Caenorhabditis elegans: one gene and its partner. Changing the gene in region 1 together with any one later gene gives a genetic interaction. Each region holds a gene or a part of one and is shown on either strand. Other genes may lie near its edges.

Evidence for each region.
Region 2: changes in sur-6 (region 1) and sos-1 together harm fitness more than expected from each alone (negative genetic interaction), as found in Caenorhabditis elegans (one large-scale study listed by BioGRID).

What each region holds. Positions count from the first base shown.
Region 1 is NC_003279.8:9,752,185-9,758,414, reverse strand, and holds sur-6 (Serine/threonine-protein phosphatase 2A regulatory subunit sur-6), read right to left. Parts: upstream 4,294-6,230; 5' UTR 4,178-4,293; coding exon 3,982-4,177; intron 3,644-3,981; coding exon 3,546-3,643; intron 3,492-3,545; coding exon 3,235-3,491; intron 3,186-3,234; coding exon 3,050-3,185; intron 2,803-3,049; coding exon 2,733-2,802; intron 2,682-2,732; coding exon 2,517-2,681; intron 2,469-2,516; coding exon 2,344-2,468; intron 2,295-2,343; coding exon 2,158-2,294; intron 2,112-2,157; coding exon 1,937-2,111; intron 1,568-1,936; coding exon 1,439-1,567; 3' UTR 527-1,438; downstream 1-526. Other genes in the region: F26E4.2 (Tnp_DDE_dom domain-containing protein), read left to right, coding at 387-526. UniProt on the Caenorhabditis elegans protein: Probable regulatory subunit of serine/threonine phosphatase let-92.
Region 2 is NC_003283.11:4,546,285-4,551,279, reverse strand, and holds the start of sos-1 (Son of sevenless homolog), read left to right. Parts: upstream 1-1,988; 5' UTR 1,989-2,000; coding exon 2,001-2,120; intron 2,121-2,172; coding exon 2,173-2,259; intron 2,260-2,369; coding exon 2,370-2,456; intron 2,457-3,407; coding exon 3,408-3,710; intron 3,711-4,995. UniProt on the Caenorhabditis elegans protein: Promotes the exchange of Ras-bound GDP by GTP. May regulate signaling pathways downstream of receptor tyrosine kinase, egl-15 and let-23.

The DNA of each region.
Region 1 (6,230 bases):
TTTTTCAAAACAAAATCCAACGTAATATAATCGATTTTTTTCAATTAATTATTCTCTTATACATCCGCGTCAAAAATACGGTACGCGGCCTCGACACGACAAATTTTAGTTAAATGCGAAATGTTGTGCGCCTTTAAAGAGTACTGTAATTTCAAACTATGATTGCTTCGGAATTTTCATCGAGTTTTTTTTTAAATTTTTTCTAATTATTTGTTCAAAATTATGCTTTTATTGTTATATTCCATTTTTCTAACTATGCAATTCGGTGAAAATTCAGCAGCAGCAATAGTTTGAAATTACAGTAATCTTTAAAGGCGCGCACATTTTCGCATTTATAAATTTGTCGTGTCGAGACACCAATAATATATTTTTCTAATTTATTTCAGTCTCCAAAGTCACATATGATGCACAAGTACTAGTACGTCAAACATATCGTCGCCATGGAACTGAAATCCTCATCGCCACAAATGTGATACTATTATTATTGTTTTTGTACATTTGTCGACTATTTCCATTCAATAAATGAGTTTTTATGATTGGAAAATAAATATTGCTTACAATTTTATGGGAAAAGGAAGACTTAATGATGAGACACACCCACGGGGATTTAATGATGAAGAAATATGAGGGAAGTAATACAAAAATTTATGTCAAGATTCTTGATTTGAAAGTTTGTAATTTTGTGACAGACAAACGAACAGAGAAAGTGGAGAGAAAATAACTAAAGTCGGAAAAATTTCAAAAATTTTTTGGGCGATTTTTATAGTTTTCAAAATTACAGAATGGAGCTAACAAGGTGAGAATAATACCTTCACACGCTTTCAAACAAGAGGATTAAGTCGTGAAACACATTGTGAATCTAACAGGAGAAATCATCCTAAAAGTGGGAGAGACACGACCCGAATGATTCGGGGTTAAGGATCTACAGTTATCTTTTTAAAAGTGGTGGTGGAAGAGACAAGAAAGAGAACACTGGAGTTGAAGAGTGAGGGAAAAGTATAGAAAACGGGCCACGTAATTCAAGAATGATATGAGAGGATAGAGAGAGGGAGAGAGTAAAGAAAAAGAAGCTATAAGAATAATAAAGTACAACTCTATCTCAAATTGGAAGCAAAAGACAACTTTAACAGTTGAAAAATAGAAACCAACTAAGAGCTTATTCCTGTTTTACTTCAAAAATTTACGATGACGAAGGATTTGAAAGAAAGAAAGCGAGTAACATTGAATACGCGATTAAATGTCTATAAGTCGACATGAGGACTACGAAAACGGGAAAGAAGGGACGGGATTTGAGAAAGAATTGACTCACAAAAATATGGGGAAAATATGAAAAAAAAATTTAGAGTTATATGAATGTGATATTTGAGGATAAATTGAGAAAAAGGGAAAATGATGATTGGGGGAGGACGAAATCCAACAAGTTTACGAAAACAATAATTTAAACATCTGAGAAGATGTAGAGATTGTTAGTGGCAGCAAGAGCAATGATGTTATCCTTTGGATGCCATGCTGTGTGCAATATTTTACGATCAAATTGAAGTTGATCAGATGAAAGATCCTCTTCGGTCTGTAAATTGGGTTTTTGTTGATTTTGAAGTAAGATATGTTTATCATATTTTCACGAGAGTTTAACATGCATTCTTAAAGGTGCACGGATGTATTCAGATGAGTCTTGGCGATCAAGAAAATTTACGGTTGTGCTTTTATTTTATGCGGCTGATTCCTCGTTTATTTTACATTTTCAATAAAATTACGTCGTTTAAAGTGTATTTTTAGCGAAAAAATGTCGCTAAATACGAAGTAATTATATTGAAAAATAAAAAATAAACGAGAAGCAGTCGCATAAAATAAAAATAAAAACTACCATAAACTTTTTTTGCGCGCAGAGACCCATTTAAACATGAAGACGTTTTTTTAAATTTAATTGAAATCTTACCGTTTCACCGCTTGATGACAGATTGTTTCTCTTCCGTTTCGCTGATGGTACAACAAATCGAGATCGGAGCTGTGAATGTGGTTCTTGAGGCCGAGCTTCCCAAGTTTTCGCATCTTGGTTATTGCCACGAGCATATGAACGGAACAGATTATGATACGAACCCGTGAGAATATGTCTGCAAAAAGAAAATTATAATATGAAAAAGTACTGCAATTAATTACTTGTCATCTCCACTCCAATCGCACTCGAATTTATCGAAAATTGAATCATTTTCGTAGAGTGCACAGAGTTTTGTTCGTAAATAATTGTGCACTGGATATGTCTCTACCGGTTGTGATTCCATGTTCAAATCCCACACCTGAAATATAAAAGTTGTTCAAATTTTCTTTTTAATTATTAATAATTACCTTGACAGTAAGATAGTCCCTCGTAAGCAAGTACCTTCCATTATGTGAGAATTTGACGTCACTAACAGATGCAATAATCTCCGAGAAGAAAGATCGAGATTGAGGGTCTTCTGGTTCCTCGAAAACTGCAAATTAATATTATTTATATAATCAATACACAGAACCAAACGCACTTTTAGCATACGCATCACATAGAGCACGATCTCTCATATCACACAATCGAATAGATCCTTTTGATGAAGAGTATACAAACCAATTACACTGCGTTGGATGGAATTCGGCGGCAGTAATAACTTCCGTAAGTTCTTCCATATTAGCAGGCTTGATGTCGACAATGTCTGGAAGAAATCGATATTAAAATTTTTTGAAAACAAGTATTCAAAACTCACTGAAAGACTCATTGGTAATCTCCAGATTCCAAAGGTTAACTCGCAAATCGTCGGCAGATAGGAATGTTTCCTGAAAATCGGAATATAATTTTTAATTTCGGTTCACTTATACATAATTGATATTTTGGTCCTTGCAGTACCAAACATTTTAAATTTTCACAAAAAAGAATTCAGCCAACCTGGTACTATTTTTCTAATAAATTGAATAGTTAAAAAAATACGCCGAACATGTGAAGAAGGTTATACTGTTGAGATTTTGATTCATCGTATACTTTGGATTGAAAAAAGCTGAACACAAAAAAAAATTATTAAAATACCTGATCAGAATTCACTGAAATACTGTTGACGTGATAAGTGTGAGCATTTCCGTAAACTCGTCTCGGACTTGCTTCAACTATCAACTCCATTGGCACGATCGAGGGTATTTGTAAGCGACCTCGGAAGGAGGAAGTGCTGAAAATTATATTTATATATTTAAAATATTTAATCATTAATGTTATACTTGATTCTGTTTGTTCTAGGCAGATTCCATGCATCGTCTCCAATTTTACGCTCTCTTTCACTAATTTTCCACAGCTTGATTGTTTTGTCGTTGGTCGAGAGAATGAAATTGGCTGCATTCTTCTTTTTAAGCCACCGAATTTGATTAATTTTCTCGTCAATTTCTAGTGATTTCAAATAATCAAATTCAGGTTCATGAGATTGAAATGTCGAGTAAACATTATATTCCCTCGATCGAACGCCTTTCACATACTTTCCCTGAAAAATTAAATATTTAAAACAGTTCTCGTCTTTCTAAAAACTAAAACCTACACTCTGATCTCGTTGGAAAATTACAACACGTCCTCCTTTGTCTCCCGTTGCCAAATATTCACCATCGTGTGAAAATTCCACACAAGAGATCACATCGGCTGAAAATTATTCGATTTTTCAGTATTCTAGGCATCATAATTTTTACTAATTTTTGACATATCATCTTAAAGTCGCACGCATTAATTCAGATGGGTCTCGGCGCGCAATAATGTTTATGGTAATTTTTTTCGAATGTTTTACTTTAAAAACTGATTTAAAACAATTTTCACAGAAAAATGAAAAGAATATGACAAATTTCGCAAAAAATGAACTAAGTAGTATTTTAATTTTAAAAAAAAACAAGGCAATTAAACCACCAACTTTTTTCTGAATAAATCGTGCGTCTTTAAGAAATAGTATCAAAAACGTAGGGAAATTTCAAGTAACAATTTTTTACCTTCCGTGTGCACATCGGCATCTATATTTCCTTTCACCTGGTTGAATTTCCAATTTATTTGATCTACCGGTTCAAATGTTTCATCGTTCTCAATTGGTCCCTCGGAGGTATCCATATCAAAGTCATTCGCATGCTCCTGCGGTTGATTTTGCGATGTAGTCGCCGCAACTGCAGGTTCGTCCACTTCCATCACCATTATTCAAATTTTTCCTCTTTTTCGTTGTTTCTTTGGTTCTCTTCCCTTCCTAATCACTGGATGTGACGAAGATTAAAGTGTTTGAGACACGGGAATGACGACTATTTTTAATGCGTCTGAAAAATGGAAATTATTATATACAAAATTGGATTAGGAATTCAGAGATTGACATCGGGAAAAAAAGAAGCATAAATCCTCATGCCGCAGGTTGCTAGGCAACAAATCTGTCGAGTGATGAAGAAAAAGCACAACATGGTAAAACAGGAAATTAAGACAATTGTTTGAAAGAGAAATAGCTGCAAAGTTTTTTCAAAGAGTCAAAAGGAATGGAACACTCAGGTCAGAGAATTAGAGACAAAGAACGTTGTTTAAAAGTTTGTATGTTTGATTCGATCACAAAAATGACCGAGAATCACAGCGGTGCCGCAATGCTATCGCAATTTACATGACGAAACGCGGGCAAAAAAACTAGGGTGCGAAAGGGCGCATTTGCAATTTGTAAACGGAAGGGACCGGTTTTGAGTGCATTTCAGTGCAACAAAATTAGAAAATGAAATAACACAAAAATGTTGATAATGGATGCTTAATTTACGTAGATCAATTTATAAGTAATATCTCTCTGATCGCCGCATTTTAGTCAAAAAAAAATTGTTGGTCAAAAGCACGAAGATTTGGTTGGAGAAAACAAGCAGATGATGCTTACCGAGATCTCGTCTGCCAACCAAGGGACTCTTAATCCATCGGCGCAGAGCAAACGCGCGAGATTAATTCGAGCTTCTTCACAACATCTGCGTCTCTTCAGTCATCTCATTATGTTATTACTATCAACACTGAATGCTCATAAAGCACGAAAGCAGAGATACATGGCTCGAGGTAGTTCTCTAATCATCTCATTTTCACTGAATTCTTTTTTCTATTCAAGTTTCTTCCTAATCCGCTCCCTCACCTGTGTGAATTCCAGTTAACCAAAAACGGAGCAATAGACAGACCGTAGAGAGAAAGAGACAGAAAAGGAAACAAAAATGAGTGTGTATGTGTGCGTGTGTGCCGAATAATAATGAGCAGAGTGAGGCGCAAAATCAGATTATAACTTCAACTTTTTTTTCAAAATGGTAGATAACCAATCGATCGATCAATAATTATCAGATGAGTCATAGGAAAATGACTGAAACAGTATGCGATCACGCAGAGAAGAACTTCACGCAGCTGGCCAGAGGGCAACAACAAGACGGAAATAATCAATGACTACTCATGACTACACGAGAAGGAACCTCTTACTTATCAGCTGTCCTCCGATAGAAACAAAAAATTATTGATCAGAAAGCAAATATGATTTCAAAAGTTAAAAGCTTGATTATTTCAAAATAATAATAAGGAAAATGCTGAATAAGATTGTTGTGATCAACAGAAATCCAATTGGCAAAATGTAATAAAAAGTGAAAAACGGAGACGGAAGGAATCATGATGGATTAAAAAACAATATACATCCATTTTCTAAGCGGCAAAAACGAGAGATGGAGCACTCCCTCCATGTGTGTGCGGGCCTGTGAGTGTCAACGACGTGTGCAGCATGAGGCGACGACAGCATCAGCCGGTGGAGAAGCAGAAGACATGGTGGGGGAGGAAAAGAAGACGTCGAGAAGGAGCGAGAAGAGATATCAGTGTTCTTCCGAAGGGAGCGCGAGGAGACATGAAGAGATGGGCGACTACTGCCTTGAAGAACCAAATAATCGATTGGCTATGGCGCCGGCGACGAACCGAATGGCGAAAACGGAATGACGCAGAGTATGAAACACGAGACAGTGCACCTAAACGAGTTACGCAGACAGCTCGACGATGGAACACAAAGAAACTGTGTGCGAAGCTAATAGCATTGATGGACAGTCAACTCTTTCTTTTTTTATTTGAAAAATGTTACTATCATTATTTGGAAGCACATTTTGACCGTTTCGTAAAAGAAAACTTAGTTCAGTGAAAGTAGGGTCAATTAGTGTTCGCAAAAAGTGTAATGAGTTGGGCTCTTCTTTTTAGGGACTTGCCGAAAATTTGTTTT
Region 2 (4,995 bases), on another chromosome or scaffold:
GATTTCAACAAAAAGTTGTTTCCAGCTGCTGCGACATTGAGAAGTCGGTCAAATTTCAAATTTTAACTAAACCTAGGCCATTTTTTGAGCCACCATAACTTTTTTAAAACAAGTTTTCAAGATGTTTCATTATAAAATTCGGTGTTTTCAGACTATTTTGAGTTTAGTCAAGAAATAATAATCGAAATAAAAAATCGACTACACCACTTTTAGCATGAGATAAACGATAAAAGTATGCAATAAAGGGTGATAATTTAATAAAAACTGTAAGTAAAATTCCAGAGGCTGCCATAAGCAAGAGTTGCCGAAATTTCGGCTTTTTTTTCGATTTTTTTTTAAGAAAAAAGTCTCATTATGATATCCAGTCAGTTTTGGTCTATTCAAGCAAAATAACCAAAATCTCTACTACTTTTCAAATTTCTTCAATTCGATCGAATTTGACCTCAAAAAAATCGAAACGAGAATCAAAAAAGAGTCGACCTTGAAGTAGTGTATTTGTGTTGATTAGGTGGGGCTACTGATTGCACTGCAAATCAATAAATATATAAAGTCTTCTCAACAGATCAAACTGGTTCGAATAGAACAAGGCCGTGGTGAGAGATGGTGGCCGGCCGTTGTCGGGTGTCCATTTCTCTAGAATCTCTCACAGATTCCTGCAGTATTTCGTCAGCAGCCGCCGGCGGGTAACCCCCCGCTTCCCGTTCTCATCCCGTATCATTCTGTCCGCTTGTCTGTCACCTCTACGCTTCCATCACACTCCATCTTTTCTTCTATTTCTTCTTTTCAGTGTGTGTGTTGTTCCATGCATTATTTTTGCGGGTTGTAATCATCATCATCATCGCCATCATACACTTTTCTCCTTCTTCTCCATCTTGCTTTTCTCGCTCTCGTCAATATAGTTTTTGTCTTAAATAAACTTTGCAAAAGTGAAAATTTAAAAAAATATATAAATTCGTTCCTTGCATGCAGATTTTTTTTTCTGAAATTGCCGGAATTTATGTTACCAGCCAGGGATGTCCGGCAATTGTGGTTTGGCAAATTTTCTTGTCCACAAATTCGGCAAATTGCCGATTTGCCAATTTGCCGGAAATTTCGATTTTCGGCAATTTGCCGATTTGCCGTTCGCCGGATATCAATTTGCCAGAAAAATGAGGGTTTTTTATATATTTTTTTATATTTTTCATAACACTTAAAACTGTGCCTTTTTGAAATTTTTTTCCGGTTTTCTTTAGATATTTTCATAGAATTTGCTAACTTTTCAAAATAGATGTAGGAACATTCATAGGATGCGTACAATTTTGCTGATTGAAATTGAACTTCTGGAATTCCCAAAAAAAAAGTGCAAGGCCACAATTTGCCGGTTTGCCGATTTGCCGGAAATTGTCAATTCCGGCAATGTTGATTTGCCGGAAAGTTAGCAAAAATCGTTTGCCGATTTTTTCCAGCAAAGCGGCAAATGGCCGGAATTGAAATTTCCGGCAAATTGGCAATAAACCGGAAAAGTGGCAATTGTCGAAAATTTTCGGCGAAACGTGGTTTTGCACTTCTTTTTTTGTTGGAAATTTCAGAATTTCAATCTAAATCGGCGAAATTGTACGCATCCTATGAATTTTCCTACGTCTGTTTTGAACTGTAAGAAAAAATTTAAAAAAGGGGCAGTTTTAAATGTTCCCATCTTATAAAAATCCCTCTAAACATTTCCGGCAAATTCCAATTTTTTCGAGGAATTGGATTATGTTCCATATATCAACGAAAAAAAAAACAATTTTATTAAACAAAATAAATTGAAAAAATTCGGAAATTTTTCATTTGACGGTATATGCTAAAATATTTTTTTCTGTTCACTTTAAGGTACTTCTGGTGATTAGAAAATTTAAAAAAAAATCGATTGTCAGCGTAAGAATTTATTAATTCATGAATTTTAACTCGTAACTTATTGTTGGCCCACTAATATATTTTTTCCTAAATAATTCAAAATTTCATTGCAGATGGTCATATAAATGAGCATAATGAGCATATCACTGCACTCGGCATCATCGGATACGGTCTCGTTGACCAGCCGACGAACAATATCAACTAGTAAGCATTGGGCGGCTATTTTTGATGAAAGAATTTATCAGGTTTGTATATATTTGAATATTTCCTGAATTCAATAATATTTTTCAATTTCAGATATGCAATATCGTACATCCTGGCCTCCCGATTGACAATGCTGCAGTTGAGCACATTCGATATTTTTTGCAAAGTATCGTTTTTGAGGTATATATATATATGTATATATCGGTTTTTTTTCAAATCTAACAAATAAATTAATATTAATAAATTCCCCCTGTGCATTTCTTGACCTTGTAATCCTTTCCCCTCTTCAGCTCATCGAAGCACGTGCCACAAGTGTCGTCGAAGTGGACAAAACTGCGAAAAAGCTGTTCGCATTCGGTCTGCAGACTGTTTGTAAAGTAAGGGATTTTCAAAAAATGTTTCCAAAAAATTTGTATATTCATAAATCATCAAAAAAGATCGTGATTTGATTTTCAAAACTATTCATTTTTTGTCTTTTATCCTGAATATTCAAGTTTATGGAATTCTTTCCGCTTTAAAATATTTTATTTAAAATGTACTACGAGAACACAAAAATCTGAGAATGCGTATTGCACAACATATTTGACGCGCAAAATAACTCGTAGCGAAAAAGAAAACTACAGTAATCCTTCAAATCACTACTGTAGCGCTTGTGTCGATTTACGAGATCTCGATTTTCGTATTAAAAGCGATGGAGCTTATTTCGAAAATTGGGCCCCGTAAATCGACACAAGCGCTACAGTAATCATTTAAAGGGTTACTGTAGTTTTCGCTACGACACATTTTGCGCGTCAAATATGTGCAATACGCATTCTCAGATTTTTGTGTTCTCGTAGTACATTTTAAATAAAATATTTTAAAGCGGAAAGAATTCCATAAACTTGAATATTCAGGATAAAAGACAAAAAATGAATAGTTTTGAAAATCAAATCACGATCTTTTTTGGTGATTTATGAATATACAAATTTTTCTTTTTTTTGCCTAAAAAATCTGGGTTTGGACAAAAAAAATATTAAAAAAGTAGTGAAATTGGTGAAAAAACCAACAAAAAAAAACGTTTTCCACCTAACATAAATACAAGAAAAATGAAATATACTCTTTGGGAAAAAAATATTTTTAAAAATTCTAAAATTCTGAAAAACCACAAATTAAAATGAACAAACCACGAAATATTGAAAAATTCAACTTTCGAAAATTTTCGTGATTTTAAAATTTGGATTTTTCAGAATTTGAGACTATTTTTGAATTTTTCGGAGCAATATTCCCCCTAAAATGTGTATTTTTTCTGATTTCTCGAATTTTCTTAAATATTATTTCAAAATTTGCAGGAAGCCTGGGACAACATGCACCAACAACTCCAAAAGCACAAATATCAAAAAGCCCTGAAAACAGTTCTAGAAAGCCAACATCGCCTGGCAGCAGTCATCAAAGAAACACTTGGACCACGAGAAAAAGAGAAAAAAGATCGAGAAAAGAAGGAAATCGAACGTATCGCATGCTATATTTATTATGCATGTGAAAGTGTTACTGAAGATGTGCTCAGGCTGACTGGAAATTATGTGAAAAATATTCGAAATAGTGAGCAAAAGATTACGATGGCTAATCTTGATGTGGCGATGAACGGGGATAAGGTACTGCTTTTTTTTGGAGAAAAATATAAAAAAAACCTATTCAGCAGAAAATTTGCTTCGAAAAAATAAAAATAAAAATAGTCTTGAATTCAGAAAAAACCAAAAAAATCGCAATTTTAGCTAAACACAATTTTGTTTTCGAAATCGAAAAACGAGAAAAAAATTTTTTTTTTGAAAACAAAACATTTTTCGCCGAAAAATACGAAGAAATAATAAATTTTTCGCCAAAAAACACAAAAAAGCGAAAAGAATAAACATTTTTCAGTTTATAACGTTATTTTAAAAAAAAACTTGCTTATTTTGACCAAAATTGCATTAAAAAAAATTCGAGTGTGATTTTTTGGAATTTATGTAAAATTTAATATTTTTCTATATTTTTCAATTTATCAGAATTTTCCGCTTTTTATCAATCTTTTTTTCGAAAAAAAAGCAACAAAAAAAAACACATTTTTCGCCAAAAACACGGCAAAATCTACAACCCTGACTGCTGCGACCAATCAGCGATTCGCTCCGCCCATTCTTCAACCAATCAGATGGAGTGGGCGGAGTTTGGTGGCGCTGATTGGTTGTGCAGTTTTCGTTGCGGTGGGAATTCAAAGTTAGCCAAAATTTTCACGATTTTCTTGTGTATTTTTTTCCGAATTTGAGACTATTTTGGTTATTTTGAAGCGAAAATTCAAAAAAAAAAAATCCCAGAAATTTCTGAAATTGACCTAAATTGACCTGAAAATCGATAATTAGACTTGTTTGCAAAGAAAAAAAAAAGGAAAATCTAATTAATATAGCCGTCGGCAATATTATTGCCGAAAAACGATATATTAATTGGGTTTTCTTTGTTTTTTTTCTGTTTTATAATTGGAAATATTATTTTTTCAGACTTTTTTCTGGAAAAAGGGTATAATTTTAAGATTAAATTATCGGTTTTTGGCCAATTTTGGCTAAATTTGTTTCAAATTCTCTTTTTTCATAAATTTCATCTCAAAATTATATTGCATATGTCCACTTCGTGCCAGGCTGTCCCATTACGGTTTGATCTACGAAAAATGCGGGAATTTTTTCCCAGAAAAAATGTGACGTTAGCACGCTCTTAACCATGCGAAATCAGTTGAGAACTCTGCGTCTCTTCTCCCGCATTTTTCGTAGATCAAACCGTAATGGGACAGCCTGACTCCACGTGTATCTGCACGTGGTCTCAAAGTGTCCCATTTTGGTTTGATCTCCGAAAAAGGCGGGACGTCACATTATTCCGAGGAAAAAATTCCCGCATTTTTTGTAGATCAAACCG